Tamandua tetradactyla: one gene and its partner. Each later gene encodes a partner of the first gene's protein in a complex. Links are inferred from orthologs where the notes say so. Each region holds a gene or a part of one and is shown on either strand. Other genes may lie near its edges.

Evidence for each region. Proteins that work in one complex are often made in the same cells at the same time.
Region 2: TREX1 (region 1) and nucleoside diphosphate kinase A share a complex: the UniProt entries of both Homo sapiens proteins name them as parts of the SET complex. The link is inferred for Tamandua tetradactyla from reciprocal best matches to the Homo sapiens genes TREX1 and NME1.

Annotation. Positions count from the first base shown.
Region 1 is NC_135341.1:37,817,580-37,824,761, forward strand, and holds TREX1 (three-prime repair exonuclease 1), read right to left. Parts: upstream 2,535-7,182; 5' UTR 2,218-2,534; coding exon 2,011-2,217; intron 1,772-2,010; exon of another isoform or gene 1,746-1,771; coding exon of another isoform or gene 1,662-1,745; coding exon 801-1,661; 3' UTR 526-800; downstream 1-525. Other genes in the region: ATRIP (ATR-interacting protein), read right to left, coding at 2,761-2,828, 3,234-3,486, 3,701-3,781, 4,228-4,319, 4,470-4,606, 7,151-7,182. UniProt on the Homo sapiens protein: Major cellular 3'-to-5' DNA exonuclease which digests single-stranded DNA (ssDNA) and double-stranded DNA (dsDNA) with mismatched 3' termini. Prevents cell-intrinsic initiation of autoimmunity.
Region 2 is NC_135332.1:32,271,274-32,278,776, reverse strand, and holds the start of nucleoside diphosphate kinase A, read right to left. Parts: upstream 3,003-7,503; 5' UTR 2,875-3,002; intron 1,236-2,874; exon of another isoform or gene 1-1,235. UniProt on the Homo sapiens protein: Major role in the synthesis of nucleoside triphosphates other than ATP. The ATP gamma phosphate is transferred to the NDP beta phosphate via a ping-pong mechanism, using a phosphorylated active-site intermediate.

The DNA of each region.
Region 1 (7,182 bases):
GTTACGGCTGCCCTTGGGGAAGCTTTCCTGCCCTTGCTGGCCCAAACTCCTGCCACAGGTTGGCAGGGTGGCCTCTGTCCGCCAACAGACTCAGGTCTCTTCCCTGCAGTGTTTTACTTTTAGCCAAATATTACCCACTGTGTTCTGTTTCCAAGTGTGTGTGATGTTTGCTGTGAGGCTGAAACCTCTGGGTCCTGGGGAGAAATCGTCTTACAGAAAAGAGGAAATATAGCTTCTCGTAGTCCCTACTTCCCCAGACACCACCCCTACGGTGATCCAGCTTCTTGAACCTCAGTCCACAATTCATACTGGCAGTGGGGACACCTGGACCCAGGGGCCATCTGGACCGAAGGTGGGCAGTGCCCTTGGATGGCAGCTCTGGCCTAGACATGAATACCCTGGTGTTCCCCATCCCTTTTGTTAATGTTTCACCAGAAATGTCTTAGCTTTGTATCTGCTAATGTGTTTCTAAGAAAGGATCTGTGGTCTATATACTTCTTTATAATAAATACAAATTTGGAGCGGCAGCCCCTTTCTTCATAGCCTTGGCTGTTGGGATGTACCATTTCCATTCAACACTTACAATTTCAGTTTTTGACCAGGTTCTACTTTTATTGGGCTTAGACTTCTGACCATCCTGCTGGGAAGGGTGGAAGACAAAGACTGTGCCACGGTCTGTGATCTCCCCTCCTCCCCCAGGTTCCTGTGTGGGCAGAGGCCCAGGTTGCAAAGGAGGGCAGGAGGCGAGTGACCAGGTAGTGCTGTTGGGGTCTTTATTAGTCAGATTTTCCTTGTTGGCCTTACTGCCCAGGGATACTCAGGGACAGCCCATACAGTATGGCTATTAACAAGGTCAGGAGGGTCAGTAGGCCCAGTGGGGCCAGCAGCCCCTTCTTGGGTAGGGCTCCAGGGCCCTTCACTGGAGGAGGAGACTTGGACTTCCTGCCCACCCTTGTGCTGGGACTGGTGTCTTTGGGTACAGCCAGGGGTGCGGTGGCTTTGGCAGCAGATGACCTAGGGTTGGTCCCAGTGGAGGCTGTGACCATGTACATGGGTTTGATAGTGCTGAAGGGCCTAGCGTGAGCATCCACCCACCGCAGCAGGGCCTGTGGCCTCCACTGACAGATGCTGAGCAGGGCCAGGACGTCACCCTCAGCTGTGTGCGAGTCTGGTGGGCTCTGCCCAAATAGGCGTGTGTAGATGCTGCCCAAGCTGTAGCTCTTTCTTGGGCCATGCGCAGAGGGGCTGCTGCCTCGCTCCAGGGCCTTCAGGGCAGCGATGCTGTCCACGCAGAAGGCACCATCCAGTGTGTTGGCAAGGCCCACTGCAGCCAGCTCTGCCTGGAGCAGGGGGAAGTCATAGCGATCACCGTTGTGTGCTACCAGGCACCAGGGCTGTGGCTGGCGTTGTAGGAAGGTTTGGAGCAGGTTGGCCAGGTCGGCATTGAAGCGCTGCCGCCCATGTGCTGCCAGCATAGCCGTGCTCAGGCCCGTGATGTTGCTGGCCGCAGGGCTGCAGACCTTCCCTGGAGCCACGCAGAGGGAGAGCTTGTCTACCACCCGGGGTAGTGGAGGCACTGTAGGGGTTGGCCCCTGGGGCGCAGGGGGGCTCTCCAGGGCACATCTGTGGATGGCTAGCAGGCACAGTTCCGTGACCTTGGGCTGGGAAAAGGGCAGGCCAGTGGCCTCCAGGTCCAAGAAGATGAAGGTCTGCATGGGACCCGGGGGTGGGGCCTGTGAGCCCATGGTGGGGCAAGTACCTGCCGCTGAGCCTGGGGAAGGGGTGGGGCATTGTGAATGCTCCTGTGGAAAAGTTATCTAAGGTGGGGAGGGCAGGAAGCTGGGGAGCGGGGGAGCTTCCTCAGTGGGAGCATACACTCTATCAGTTTGGAGGGAGGGTGGGCCTGTCTTCTTCATGTGGGTTTGGCCCCCTCCCCCAGTGCTCACCTAGCCTGGTGGGGCTCCCCACAGCCATCCACCCTGTCCCATCCCCCTGGGGGTCTGCACTCACCGAATAGCAGGCAGGCACAATCACTCTGGCGTGCTCTGGCTGGTTCTCGCCAAGGGCCAGCAGTGGCGGGAAGTGAAACTCAGCCTTTGCCCGCCCACAGGCCCGCGTGAGCAAGGCCCGCCCTGCTCTTCTCTTAGCCTGCCTGGGCCTCTCTCGCCAACACCCGTTCCCTCCCCAGGCAACCCTCCCTTCCCCCCTAGCTGCCATGGCACCCTTAAGGCTTCTTAGATCCACAGCTGTGGACTTGCCAGCTGACACCAACTGAAAATACAAGGGGTGCCCAGGCTGTCTGGGGAGGCTAGCTCCATGACTCAAACACTGCTGGGAGCTCCTGCTGTGACCCTTTTGTGCCCACCCCTCGGCTCCACTTTCCCAGACCTCCCTGGTTTAGGCCTGGGCTGAAGGCCACCTCCTTCCCTGCCTTACACTGATTTCTTCCCATGGCCCCAGCCCAAAACAATGACTCAGGACAATTTCACAGGCTGGGCAGAGCTCTTTCCTCAAAGCAGATTAGTTACCATGGGGATGGGGTCTCAACTCTGGGCAGGGACAGGAGGAAGGATCCCAGCCTTCCCTGGGACCAGTCCTGTTCCATCCCTCCCACTCAGACAAACACAGACAGACTCAGGAAACACAACACCAAGGCTGGCATGTTCTTGGCAAGAACAACCTGTCACAGCTTTTAATCAGTTGATGAGATGAGGAAAGCAGGAGTGCTGGCGCCACCATGTGGCATGATGCTCACGGACCTCAGCCACAGTCCATCTCGGGGTCGTCTACATCTGTCTCAGCAGCACAAAGGTCATCCAGGGCTGCCTCTGAGTGAAAAAGAGGGTTCTATGATGAAGGCTTGAAAGTGCTGGGGAATAGGGGAGGTCCCACCTCTCCTCCCCCAAAACCCGCAGGAACTAACCAGTCCCTTCCACGCCCAGGCCTTGCTCCCTCAGCTACTGCAAGCAAAGTGATACAAAGGCAATTCAGATAGGGATATCTCTGGAAAAACCGTGGCTCTGCCAGGCCAACTCAACAAAACATATAAGCAAACGGCAGTTCAACGTGTCTAAAAGAACTGGAGCAAGACAATGAGACTGTCGCCAGTGTTGTAAAGAGCTGTGGTGGATGGAGGACTGCTGAAGGAAGGCAAGAAGTCTAACCTGTCCATGAACTTCAGGGAAAACCCCACATGAGGGCTAGGACAGGGCTGGGTTCTCTTGCCCACTCACCTTCACAGTCTGTCACATCAGGGAGCCCTCGAATGAGCGTGCTGACCCCTGGCATCACCTGGTCATACTGATGCAGGACCTCCACGCAGTGCACAGTAAAGAGCTTGTCCTTCTGGGACAGGCTGTGCAGCAGCAGCACTGTGTCCCGCAGACATCGTACTATTCGCTTATGCCGGTCAGTCTTTGGAGGCCCCTCTGCCCTCCGCACCGTTAGCCACTGTCTGTGCAGCATCACTGTGAGTGCTCTGACAGCCTGGTGGAGGGTGCAGACTGAGGTCAAGTCTTTCAGCTGCCTGCACCCTAACAGCTCACGAGGCTGACCAGCACATTTCCCACCCACCCAGGAGAGGAAGGTTCTGAGTGATGGGTAGCATGATTAAAGGGAGCATAGGGTCCTTGCCCAGGGCCACCTTATCCACCAACAGAGCTGCCATGCTGTCAGCCCCTGCCCGCCCCTGTCCACTCACCTCCACATTGCACTGGCAGTTGGAGCCAGTGGCTGGGGAGGAGGGGCTCTGCACACCAAGCTTAGTCAGAAGCCACACCGCCTAGAACAAGAAGACTGTTCTGTAGCCACCATAATGAGGCCCTGATTATAAGCAAGGGCTTTCTCAGGCTTCTAAAAGAGCTCCAGCTTGTTTGCACAAATGGGGTCCAAGGGTGCTGGGCTTTTCTGGGCCAGACTCACAACTGTCATGTGTCTCTCCAAAAACCCCATTTGCCTCCAGGTCCTGCTCAAGTCACCAGACCCAAAGTCAGAACAGGCTTAGTCATCAGGTAACTCTGGCAAGTCCCAGGACAACCTGGCATGCACCTGCATGGCATGGGGTCCCCAAACCAAGTTCACCTCCTCAGCTGCCTGATAAACTCTTACCTAAATGAATTAAAGCTCCCACGCTTCTCAGGATGGGAAGGATAGAGAAAGGAGGTTCCGTGGGGCCTTGGCATGAGTGGGATGGTGAGCAGTCCCTGGAAAGGTCTCTGGAGATTTTACCTCTTGTTCCAGCTGAAGCCACTGTGTCTCTGAGGCCACTCTGTCAGGCCTTGATGTGATGTACGTGTACAGCAGAAGGAGGAGGCAGCCTTCTGAAAAGGATGCCCACCTCTCACTCAGAGCCCCCTTCTCACCCAGAGCTCAGGGTATGAGCTGCAGAAGCCCCCAGGAGGCCCTGACCCTCCACAACCTTTCCCTCCAATCTGCAGCAGCCCAGATGTCCACCCACCACCCCATTTTACCTGAGTGGGAACAGAGCTGAGGGGTGAGCTTCTCGTGGTCCACCAGGAGAGAGAGGAGCTTAATGGTCAACAGCACACTAGGCAGGGGTGTCTCTGGGCTGAGACACTGTGGCAGCACCTGGAACATACACTGGAACCTAAAAAACAAGGGTCCAGAGAGATGTAACACTTCCCAACCCCAATCTACCATTCACCCTCACTTTTCACTACAGGCAATGGGAAATCAGATCACAGCAGTACAAAGAAGAGACTCAGTTCATCCAGACTTGGGTTTGAATGCTGACTACCACCTACTTGCTGTGAAACTCATTTTTTTCATGAAAACAGGGGTACTGACCTTTATTGGACTGCTGTGGTTAGAGATGACAGTCCCTCACCTGATACTGCATCACGCAGGAAATGGGAGCAAACTCCCTGGACCCAGGAGGCCTGGCTTCCACCCAGCTCCTGGGCTCTTTCTTGCCATTGATACCAAATATGGTACAAGCCATTATTTGGTGTGAGAGAAATATTCTAGGCCCACCATCAAAGGACTGAACAGAGCTCCTGCTGTGACAAATGTGGACTTCACTATGGTTGGAACCGATGAGATCACACTCAGAGCAAGGAAGACCATTTGTCAGAAGACATCAGGCTCCTCTGCTGCCAAGCGTGAGGTGTCTGCAGTGGCCTTGTGCACTGACGAAGGGCTCTAGGCACACTCTCTCCCAGGTCCCAGGGGCAAAGGGATGACTTTTACCAAGGAACCAAATCCCAACACAACCACTGCAGTTTGCACAGTCCACACAGCTCAGGGGAGTATGAGGCAGGACTAGCTTGGTAGGTGGGAGGGCAATTCTAAAACAACCCCTGGGTCTAGCTTGTGCATACCTTTCATGCACCTGCAGGGTGTTAGCACAAAGCCCAGTGGACCAAAATATTCCTCAGTATGTCATTAGAAGCAGAGTCTCATTCTATTTTGGGTGAACTCATTTAGAGCAAATCCTACACAGCAGACATGCTACATGTTCTTCAGTTGCCAAGTTATGTGGGATTTTGTGGGAAACTGGAATTTAAATAAGGTTAGAACTGATTCCGAACTAGTCCACTAAAGCCCCTGAAACTACTTGGGCGAAAGTCCACCTTCATATATGACACAGGGGTTTCCAATTTACTTTTCAATAGCATGGGAACCTTCTTTTTAAGTGAAGTTTTTGGTAAAGTTCCAATATACCAAATAGGTAACACGCTGATCTGGTTAAATTGGGAGTGAACTCTTATTTGCTCAGAACCCCTGCCAGTCCCTGGGGAACAACCCTGGACCCCTAGGGCTACTAGAGACACAGTAGGAAAGATAAAGATATGAGGGGATAGTTAAGGACCATAAGACAACTGCAGCCTTCTTGATTATTGGTATTGCATCACATTGCTTTAGAGCCTTGAGAATCCTGTTCCTGCTTGGTTTTCACTCCAAAGCAGACAGGCAGCCATGTGGTAGTGGAGTTCTACTTAAGCACAAAAAGCAGGAAAGAATTCTGAAGAGACTCACTGGTGTGAGACAGTGATCAAGGACAATGACTCTGGAGACTTGACACCTGGCCTGAAACTCACCCTCATCCATACTACACTTCCTACAGTTTAGCATTTATTCACTCACCAAATACTTACAATAAGCCAGGCTCTGCACTAGGTATGAGGAAGCAGGGCTATGAGGGTGTCACGGGAGCTAATGAATGGAAGGCCGCTGGCACAGTATCTGGCCTATAGTCAGCACTCATTAAATGGCTGTTTTTAAATGTCCTCGTGGAGAAGCTCAACAGGAATGGAATGTTGGTGTGCCTGCCAAAAAAGCTGGTGAAAACTTGGTTTCTGGAGTTGATTCATTAAAGAACAAATATGAAATGAGCAATCAGCTACTATGAGCTAAGCACCAGGGTTGTGTCCCCCACTGTGCCGCTCCTCCTACACTGCCGTACTGTGTTCAGAGTGAGCACTGCTTTCAGGATGGACCAGACCAATCAGAATGTATTCAGATGCAAACCAGAATCCAGCAGTGTTTTAAGGAACTCAGAGATGAGAAGACTTAAGATACTCCTAGCCAGTGGAGTCATTCCAACCTAGGAACTGGCCCCTTGGAGTGCTCTGCAGGAGACTGAATTACTGGATGGAGGGTGGGCTGCAAGGTGTTTACAGTTCTTCCCAGTCTTGAGGTCCTGGCATCCCAAGCTAGGATTTTTCTACCACTTCCAACAAACCTCAAGAGGAACAGGAAGCAATCTGTAGCTCATGCCAGAGGCAGGCACAGTGATGATTAGACTCCCAGCAGGGCCCACTCCCCATATCTTCTGCTTCCTTACGGAACCCTACCAAAATTAACTGTGGCTGTGTGGCCTTCACCTGATCCATGCCCCAGGTTCAAAGACCTCTTGGTTCAGCCTTTGGTCCTAGGGGCAGGACCCTCTTCCATAGTAGCTAACAGCTTCCTTTTCTTATGCATGCCTTCTGTTTACCTGCTGTACAGAAGCAGAATTAAACCAAATAAACCACTTTCTTGGTTCTCCCAACACCTAGCCCTCCCTGAACCAAGTCTTAGAACTGAGCAGGGTAAATAAATCAAGGATGGGAACAAAGTACAAGAGTTCACAGGCTAGACCTCGTAAGTAAGACCCATAAGGAACCATAACTCCCACCCTGCTTTATACCTGGGCAAAAAATCAAACGAAGCATTTTCAGC
Region 2 (7,503 bases), on another chromosome or scaffold:
GTAAGACTTGGTAAAAATCTAACAAAATTCAATGGCTGTGCAAACCTGATGTATACTGGTATGAATGTGGGAGATGTAAACATAAAGTGACCAGGCAGATAACCAAACAGACCTACTTTCAATGTTTGAAATGACTGAAGGAATAAACCACATAAGGTCTAGAGTGTTCATAGTTCCTGGGATTTTAAATTCTGAATGATACTAAAAATATACAAGTATTGTGCTGGGTATTTTGGCAGCTAATCTCTCTAAATTTCTTATATATTGATAAGATTGTGGCATAAGAGACTTAAAAGAGGACTTATAACTCAATACTGCATGATTTCAGGAAAGGTCAACTGTCACAAATGATAAGCCCATTTTAAATGCTGACCAGCAAGAAATCTTTTGCTAAGTGTCCAAACAAGCTGATTGTAACCTAAACATAGAGGCTGCAATTCTGTCAAACTTGTAGCATGGTAAAACTGCTTTTCAATACTCCTATGGAAGCTTCAACTGGACTTATTCACCGACATGGTGGCTAATATGTACGACAAATTAGGTTCTTCCTCTCTCAAGTTCCACTTCCAAGGCAATGGCATCAGGCACCCCAGTTTTATTGAATGCAACAGTTGTTTCTGTGACCACTGGAGTCTTTGAAGCGCAGCCACATCTTAGGACGATATTTCTCCAAATACAAAAGCTGCTTGCTGTTAAAAGCTCCACGCCGCTTTTGTCTTATGAACTGTACTGCATCTTCATATTTCATTCCACCTTCAATCAATGCTAGGGCAACAAGCACTGGAGCTCTCCCAAGACCTCCAACACAATGAACAGCAATGCAGCCACCAGGTTCTTCACGAAACTTAATTTTTACAAGACTTAACCAATCATCAACAATCTGGTTGGATGGTGGTGCACCATCATCAAAAGGCCAATCAAGAACATGGATGCCTTCTTTCTCCACAAGAGCAGTGTCATAAGTTGCTTAACATACTCTCACTATTGTGCTAACGCCATACTTCTTAAGTTCCTCTACAAATTTGCTTAAGGTTGCATTGGTCGGATTGTGTGTAATAAGAAATCTCATGTTCTTGTATGTGACTTCCACAGGAGCTGGGCGGTTCATTCGAGCCATGTTAATTTAGTTAAAAACACTCAAAGGGCTATGAAAAAATTTTAAAAATTGAATACAGAAACGATGTAAAGAAACTGAAGTCTACTTCAATATACTCCACTTGAAATTCTCAGTGCTTTGAGTATGAAGTTGCGAGGAATGGGAAATGAAATGGACCTCCTAACAAGAAGCAGCGATTCTTCAATCCAGTAATACTGAGGCAATTTAAAGTAGTGCACTGAGGTTTACCCCATCCAGATCAGAACTCTTGTAAAATGCTCTGCAGATTTCAATTCAACACTTCTGTGTCCAGGTTAACCACTCTTATGGGGGTTTCTTGGTGGAGTACTAATGAGTTCTACAGTTCACTTGTCTGCATAGAGGTCGTGCTGTGCCTGGCAGTAATCTCCGCTGCCCTTCAGAAACTCCACAAATGTGTGACCAAGAACACCACAGAACTGAGGAATATGTTTACTCATTGAAGATTGTGGCCTAATCATACAGCTGGTTCCAAGGCGGCGGCGAAACAGGCAGTGGCTGCAGGACAGGGGGCGGTGGTGGTCGTCGCGGGGTGGCAGTGGCACCAGGCTCCCTCAGTAAGTTTTAAGTACCTACTGTATACCCAATACAGTGACAGACTAAGATAGGGGTGTAAAACTAAGACATCCTCTTTCTCAATAATCCAGATGGGGAAAACTACATGTGAAAATGACATAGGGTAACAAGACAGTAAGAAACAAGGTTTGACCCAGTGCCACAGCCATGGTATTAGAACTGGAAGGAGTTTTCTAGATTGTTTCATTACAACCCCTTCATTTTACAAATGAGGAAATGGGTCCAACCTGTTTCCCAACCCCAACCCTATGCAACTTATGCTATACCCTAAGATGCAGTGAATATTCTGACTAGCGGATAAACAATAGATGGAGGAAGAATTACAGTCATTAGTAATATCTGATATGAGATTGTAATTTCACAGATTACTGTGCTGGAAAGGAGTCTAGAGAGCATCTAATCTCGATTCTTCCTTTTACAGAGGAGAATCAGCTCATGACCTGCTCTGTGTCAACACAATGAGAAAGGCCCCTCATCTTGGAAGACAATCCTTGATGTGGAGAGCAGCCACCTCCTGACTCTTGGCCTTCATACTTTACTTACGGCCTATCACAGCACCTTAACATTGTATTTGAATTTTCTGCATAAATGTCTGGTCTGTGACCTGCAGAGAGGGCTGGTTTAATTCTGTGCGAATTTCCAATACCTAGCCACATGGCCTAGCACTCAGGAAAAGCGAACAAAACGTCTTAAATTATTATCTCCCCTCCCCTCGAAAAAAGAGATACCAAACCTCAAAGGCTATCTGGAGAACCCCAGATGAAAGCAAGGCTTTGCCAGGAGAAAATGGGGCTAAAAAAAAAAACAGAAATCACTCCTACAAATGTCCCTCTCCAAACCCCGCTACACAAACACTGTGATTCACTCAACAAACCCCGCGCCAACTATTGGCCAGGCACTGTTCTTGAGAGAGTCAAATAAAGCACAACCCCAGACCTCGCGGCCCGGTGTGAAAGGCAGCCACGTACAAAGGCGAGTCCACGTGGCGTGGGAGGTGCACTGACAGGTTTGCACCTGCTGACAAAGGGTCCTCATCCCTTCCCTTCCATCTCACACACACCTCCCCCCCCCCCCGCCCCCCCGCCTCTCAGGGCGAACGTCAAACGCCCTCTTCATCCCGGACCCCATTCTTCTTGCTATTCCAGATCCGGAACCCCTCTTACCCCTCCAGCTGCTTGGCCTTCAACTCTGGCTGCTGCCACAGACACCGGAAACCCGCCCCGGCCCCACGTGGTTCCCAGCACTGACGGACACGGAACGCTTCTGCTGAGGTCTGGCAGGGAAGGTCCCATTTTAGAAGACACCATTCGTCCACGCTTCCTTCTATGGGTAGGATGTCATTCTAGGGCGCAAACTTCCGATGTTTAATTTCCGGCACTAGTTTCGTGCTCTTCCGGCAGGCGGCCTCGTTTTTGTTTTGTTTTGTTTTTTTAAGCAAACTGGTACCGCCGAGAGGTGGCGCTCAGACCATTCACGAAGTCTGAAGGAGCGTCTTACATAAATTTGACGTACTGCTCCCTCATATTTATTCAATCCTTTTTTCAGCAAGTCATGCAATAAATAATTGAGTACCTACCATGTTCTAGGCAGTATTCTAGGCCCTGGGGATATAGCAGTAAACTCTTGGGGTTTCTGGTGGGGTTTTGGGGAGAAGGGGGGCAAGCAATAAGCAATAAATTGATATGTAGTATAATAACGTTTTATGTAAGTGCTATAAAGAACAAGGCAAGGGGAAAAAGTTAAAGAGGAAGGCTACATTCAAAGTCTAGTTGGAAAAGAAAAAGTCTAGTCGAGGAAATCTCTGAGGAACTGACAGTAATAATAGACTAGACCTGAATGAAGTGGGGGAGCATTCCAGATGACTGAAGACATCCAGCGGTAGGCATCCCATTGGAGAGGGGCCAGATTGTGGTAGGAAGTCATTGTAGGGTTTGGAACAGAGAATGACATCATCTTATTTTTTAAAAATCATTCTGACTGCCGTGAGGGGAATGGATGAAGAGATGGGACAAAAGTGGAATCAAGAGACTTTTCACCAAATGATACTGGAGCCATTGGACATCTACAGGCAAAAAAAACCTTGACCTAGACCTCACAGTTTATATAAAATTCACTCAAAGCAGATCATAAAATTTTAAACTATAAAATGTCTAGGAAAAAAAGAAGAAAATCTTCCGAGCTGAGGGCTAAAGGAAGAATGTTTAGATTTGACAACAAATGCCAAATCCATAAAAGAAAACAGTTAATAAATTAGATTCATCGAAATTAAAAGCTTTTGCCTTGGGAAAGACTTTGTGAGAAGGATGAAAAGACAAGTTAGAGTGGGAGAAAATATTTGCAAACCACATATCTAATAATGGACCTATACCTAGACTATATAAAGAACTTTCAAAACTCAACAGTTAAAAAAAAATTAGAAAGTAGGCAAAAGACAGGTCATTTCGTTGAAGAGGATATACAGATGGCAAGTAAGTACATGAAGAGATGTTAGACATCATTTGCCATTAGGGCAATGCAAATTAAAACCACAATGAGGTATCACTATACACTGTCAAATGGCTAAAATGAAAATTTAGTAACAACACTAAATGCCGCCAAGGATGCAGAAAACCTGAATCACCCACAATGCATTGCTGATAGGAATTTTAAATTATATAGCCGCTCTTGAAAACAGTCTTGCCGTTTCTTGTAAAACCAAACACGAATTTACAGCATCACCCAGCAATGGCATTCTTGAACAGAATTGAAAACTTATGTTCTGTTCACACCAAAAATGAACACAATCACACTGAACACAAATGTTCGTAGCAGCTTTATTTGCATTAGTCAAAAATTAGGAACAGAACAGGTGGTCTTTACTTGGTGAATAGTTGAACAAACCATGGTACATCCAGACCATGAAATACTCAGCCATTAAAAAAAAAACAGTTGATATATAAAACAACTTCAATGGATCTAAAGAGAATTATGCTAAGTGGAAAAAAAGATAAGGCAGTGTCAAAAAGGTTGTATACAGTATGATTCCATTTATATAGCATCCTTGAAATAAAATTAGAGAAATGGAGAACAAATTATGTTTGCCGGGAATTAGAGATGGCAGGGTACAGGGTATGAATGTGGCTATAAAGGAGCAGTATGAGAGACTTGTGATAATGGAAGAGTTCTGTATCTTGATTGTGGTTGCAGTTATATGAATCTACACATGTGATAAAGTTGCATAGAACTAGACAAATGAGTATGTACAACTGGTGAGATATGAATGAATTCAGTGGATTGTACCAATGTCAGTTTCTTGGTTTTAATATTACACTATAGTTATTCAAGATTTTTCCGCTGGGGGAAACTAAAGGAAGGTACACAGGATTACCCTGTCCATTTATTGGAACTTGGTTTGAATCTGCAATTATTTCAAGATTTTTTTTTTAATGTTAAATGAAACAACAACAACAAAAACAAACCAGTTTGGGAATACAGTAGTAATCCAAGTAAGAGATAATCATGATTTGCAATAGGTGGTGACAAAGGAGATGCAAACAAGTGGTTAGTTACAGGAAATATATTAAGATGGAGCCCATAGGTCTTGCTGATGGATAGGATGTGGGGTATGAGAAAAAGATAACTAGATGAAGAATCCCAGGTTTCTTTTCTTTTTCTTTCTTTCTTTCTTTCTTTTTTTTTTTTTTTTTTTTTGGAGAGGGTGCATAAAATGTCAGTTCAATACAATTATTTACAAAATCCTTTTCAGTGGTTGCAGTCCACTATAGTAATGTTTCTAAAAGTTTTATGTATAAAGAAATCACCTAGGAGGGCGGGCCACGGTGGCTCAGCAGGCCGAGTTTTTGCCTGCCATGCCGAGGACCCGGGTTAAATTCCTTGTGCGTGCCCATGCAAAAAAAAAAAAAGAAGAAGAAGAAGAAGAAGAAATCACCTGGGGAGTTGTTAAAATACAGATTCTGATTCAGTGAGTCTGAGAGTTTGCATATCTAATAAGTTCCCAAATGATTCCAATGCTACTGATTGGTAGATTCTATAAGACCATGTCCTAGAGACAGATTCATTTAAATTGATAATTTAAGCCTTATTAGTCGAAGAGGTTCTTGCCCAGGCAGATACTGAGGAAGAGGTATAGGGAGTGGAAAATAGGAAGATCTCATCTGTTCCTGGAAGCCATCCTGAATACATGACTCCACCCTGACCGTCCTTTCCCAATCCTACAACAGCCCTCTGAGCTTCCACAGGTAAATGTTTCTGTGAACCAAATCAGAAAACTATGTCTTAGTATACACAGGTGGTTCAGTGGTAGAATACTCACCTGCCATGCAGGAGCCCTGGGTTTGATTCTTGGCCCATGCACCCACCCACCCCCCCCCAAAAAAGAAAAGAAAACTATGTCTTTATAGAATTTCAAGTTAAAAGGAATCTTAAATAATTTGTGACAAATCACCTCTTCAGAAACCCTGACAAGGAATCAGCCAGCCTCCTCTTGAAATCACTGACAGTGGAAATTTATACCTAAGGCAGTAGTAATTCACTCCTTTGCACTGGCCTTCCACCCCCTGCTAAATAACTCTTTAATTAAATGTATCCACAGCCCAAAATAATAATAGAGGTGAAGTTTAGTGAACTGAACTAATAATATCAAGTATTGTGGGCAGAAAAAGAGAGGTTGCTAGGTTGCCTTGATGGGGTGGTGGAAACATTTTATAGAAGAGATTGGATTCAGATACCCAGAAAAAAAGTAGTAAGTAGATATATCTGTAGGAATTGGGGGATTAGGAATATAGCCAAAAGCAAAGGATGCAAGAAGGAAAAAGTAAGAAATTTCTGAGAAACTGATTAGATATTCCTAATAGACTCTCCCATGGAAAAACAGGGGAAAAGGTCACCAGATTAGTGACAAGCCTTGAATGCTAATCTAAAAAATTTAGACTTTGGGCTATAGTTAGTGGAAAGCCATTGAAGTTTTGGAGGATAAGACAGTGGCTTATCAGAAAATGTTAAAATTCTAGAACTCAAAAGACCATTGAAGGCCCCAATCAAGATAAGAGAGTGAGACACTTCAGGGCTCCATCCCCCTTGGAAGCTTTGAACAACCAGCATGAACCGGCAGAAACATCTTTCTAAAAGCTCCAGAAAACAGTTAAAGGATTGTATTAACGGGGCGAGGGGCAAATCAAGAAAAGGCTACTTAAAAGATGTAGGATTTCTTCAAGCCCTGGCTGACGCCTCCCCAAACCTCTCACTGGCTTGGCATGGAGACAGACCATGCACCTAGTATGGATCCCCAGTCCTGGTTCCAGAAGGAGTAGAATAACCTTATGCACATACTGGGAACATGTATGTGTCTGGCAAATCTATCTGGTGTGGTCTGAGGAACTCACTGTATCAGAGCTTGCCCTGTGTGTAGAAGGCAGCTCATAGAATACTCCTACACAACACTGTGGGAGAGCAGTTAAACTGTGGTGCCTAAGGCAAAGGATTGCTGGTTGCAGGACATACAGTTTAGTGCTCAGGACCATGAGGAAACTGTTTCCTAGAGAACAGGGGACATCATATCCATAAAAATGGGGAATTCCTAGGGCCACATGTACATGCCCAAGCCAAGACACATGTGCAGAAAGAATTGGAGTAGCCACTCTGCTTTGGCATGGAACACTCACACAAATCAATCTACAAAGCCTGGAAAGGTGCTTTCTTTTTTTTCCTTCTTCCTCCCTTCCTTCTTTGCTCTTCCTCCCTTTCTCCTTCTCTTTCTCCTTCTCCTTTCTTCTCAGTGACTGGCATTCAAGTAA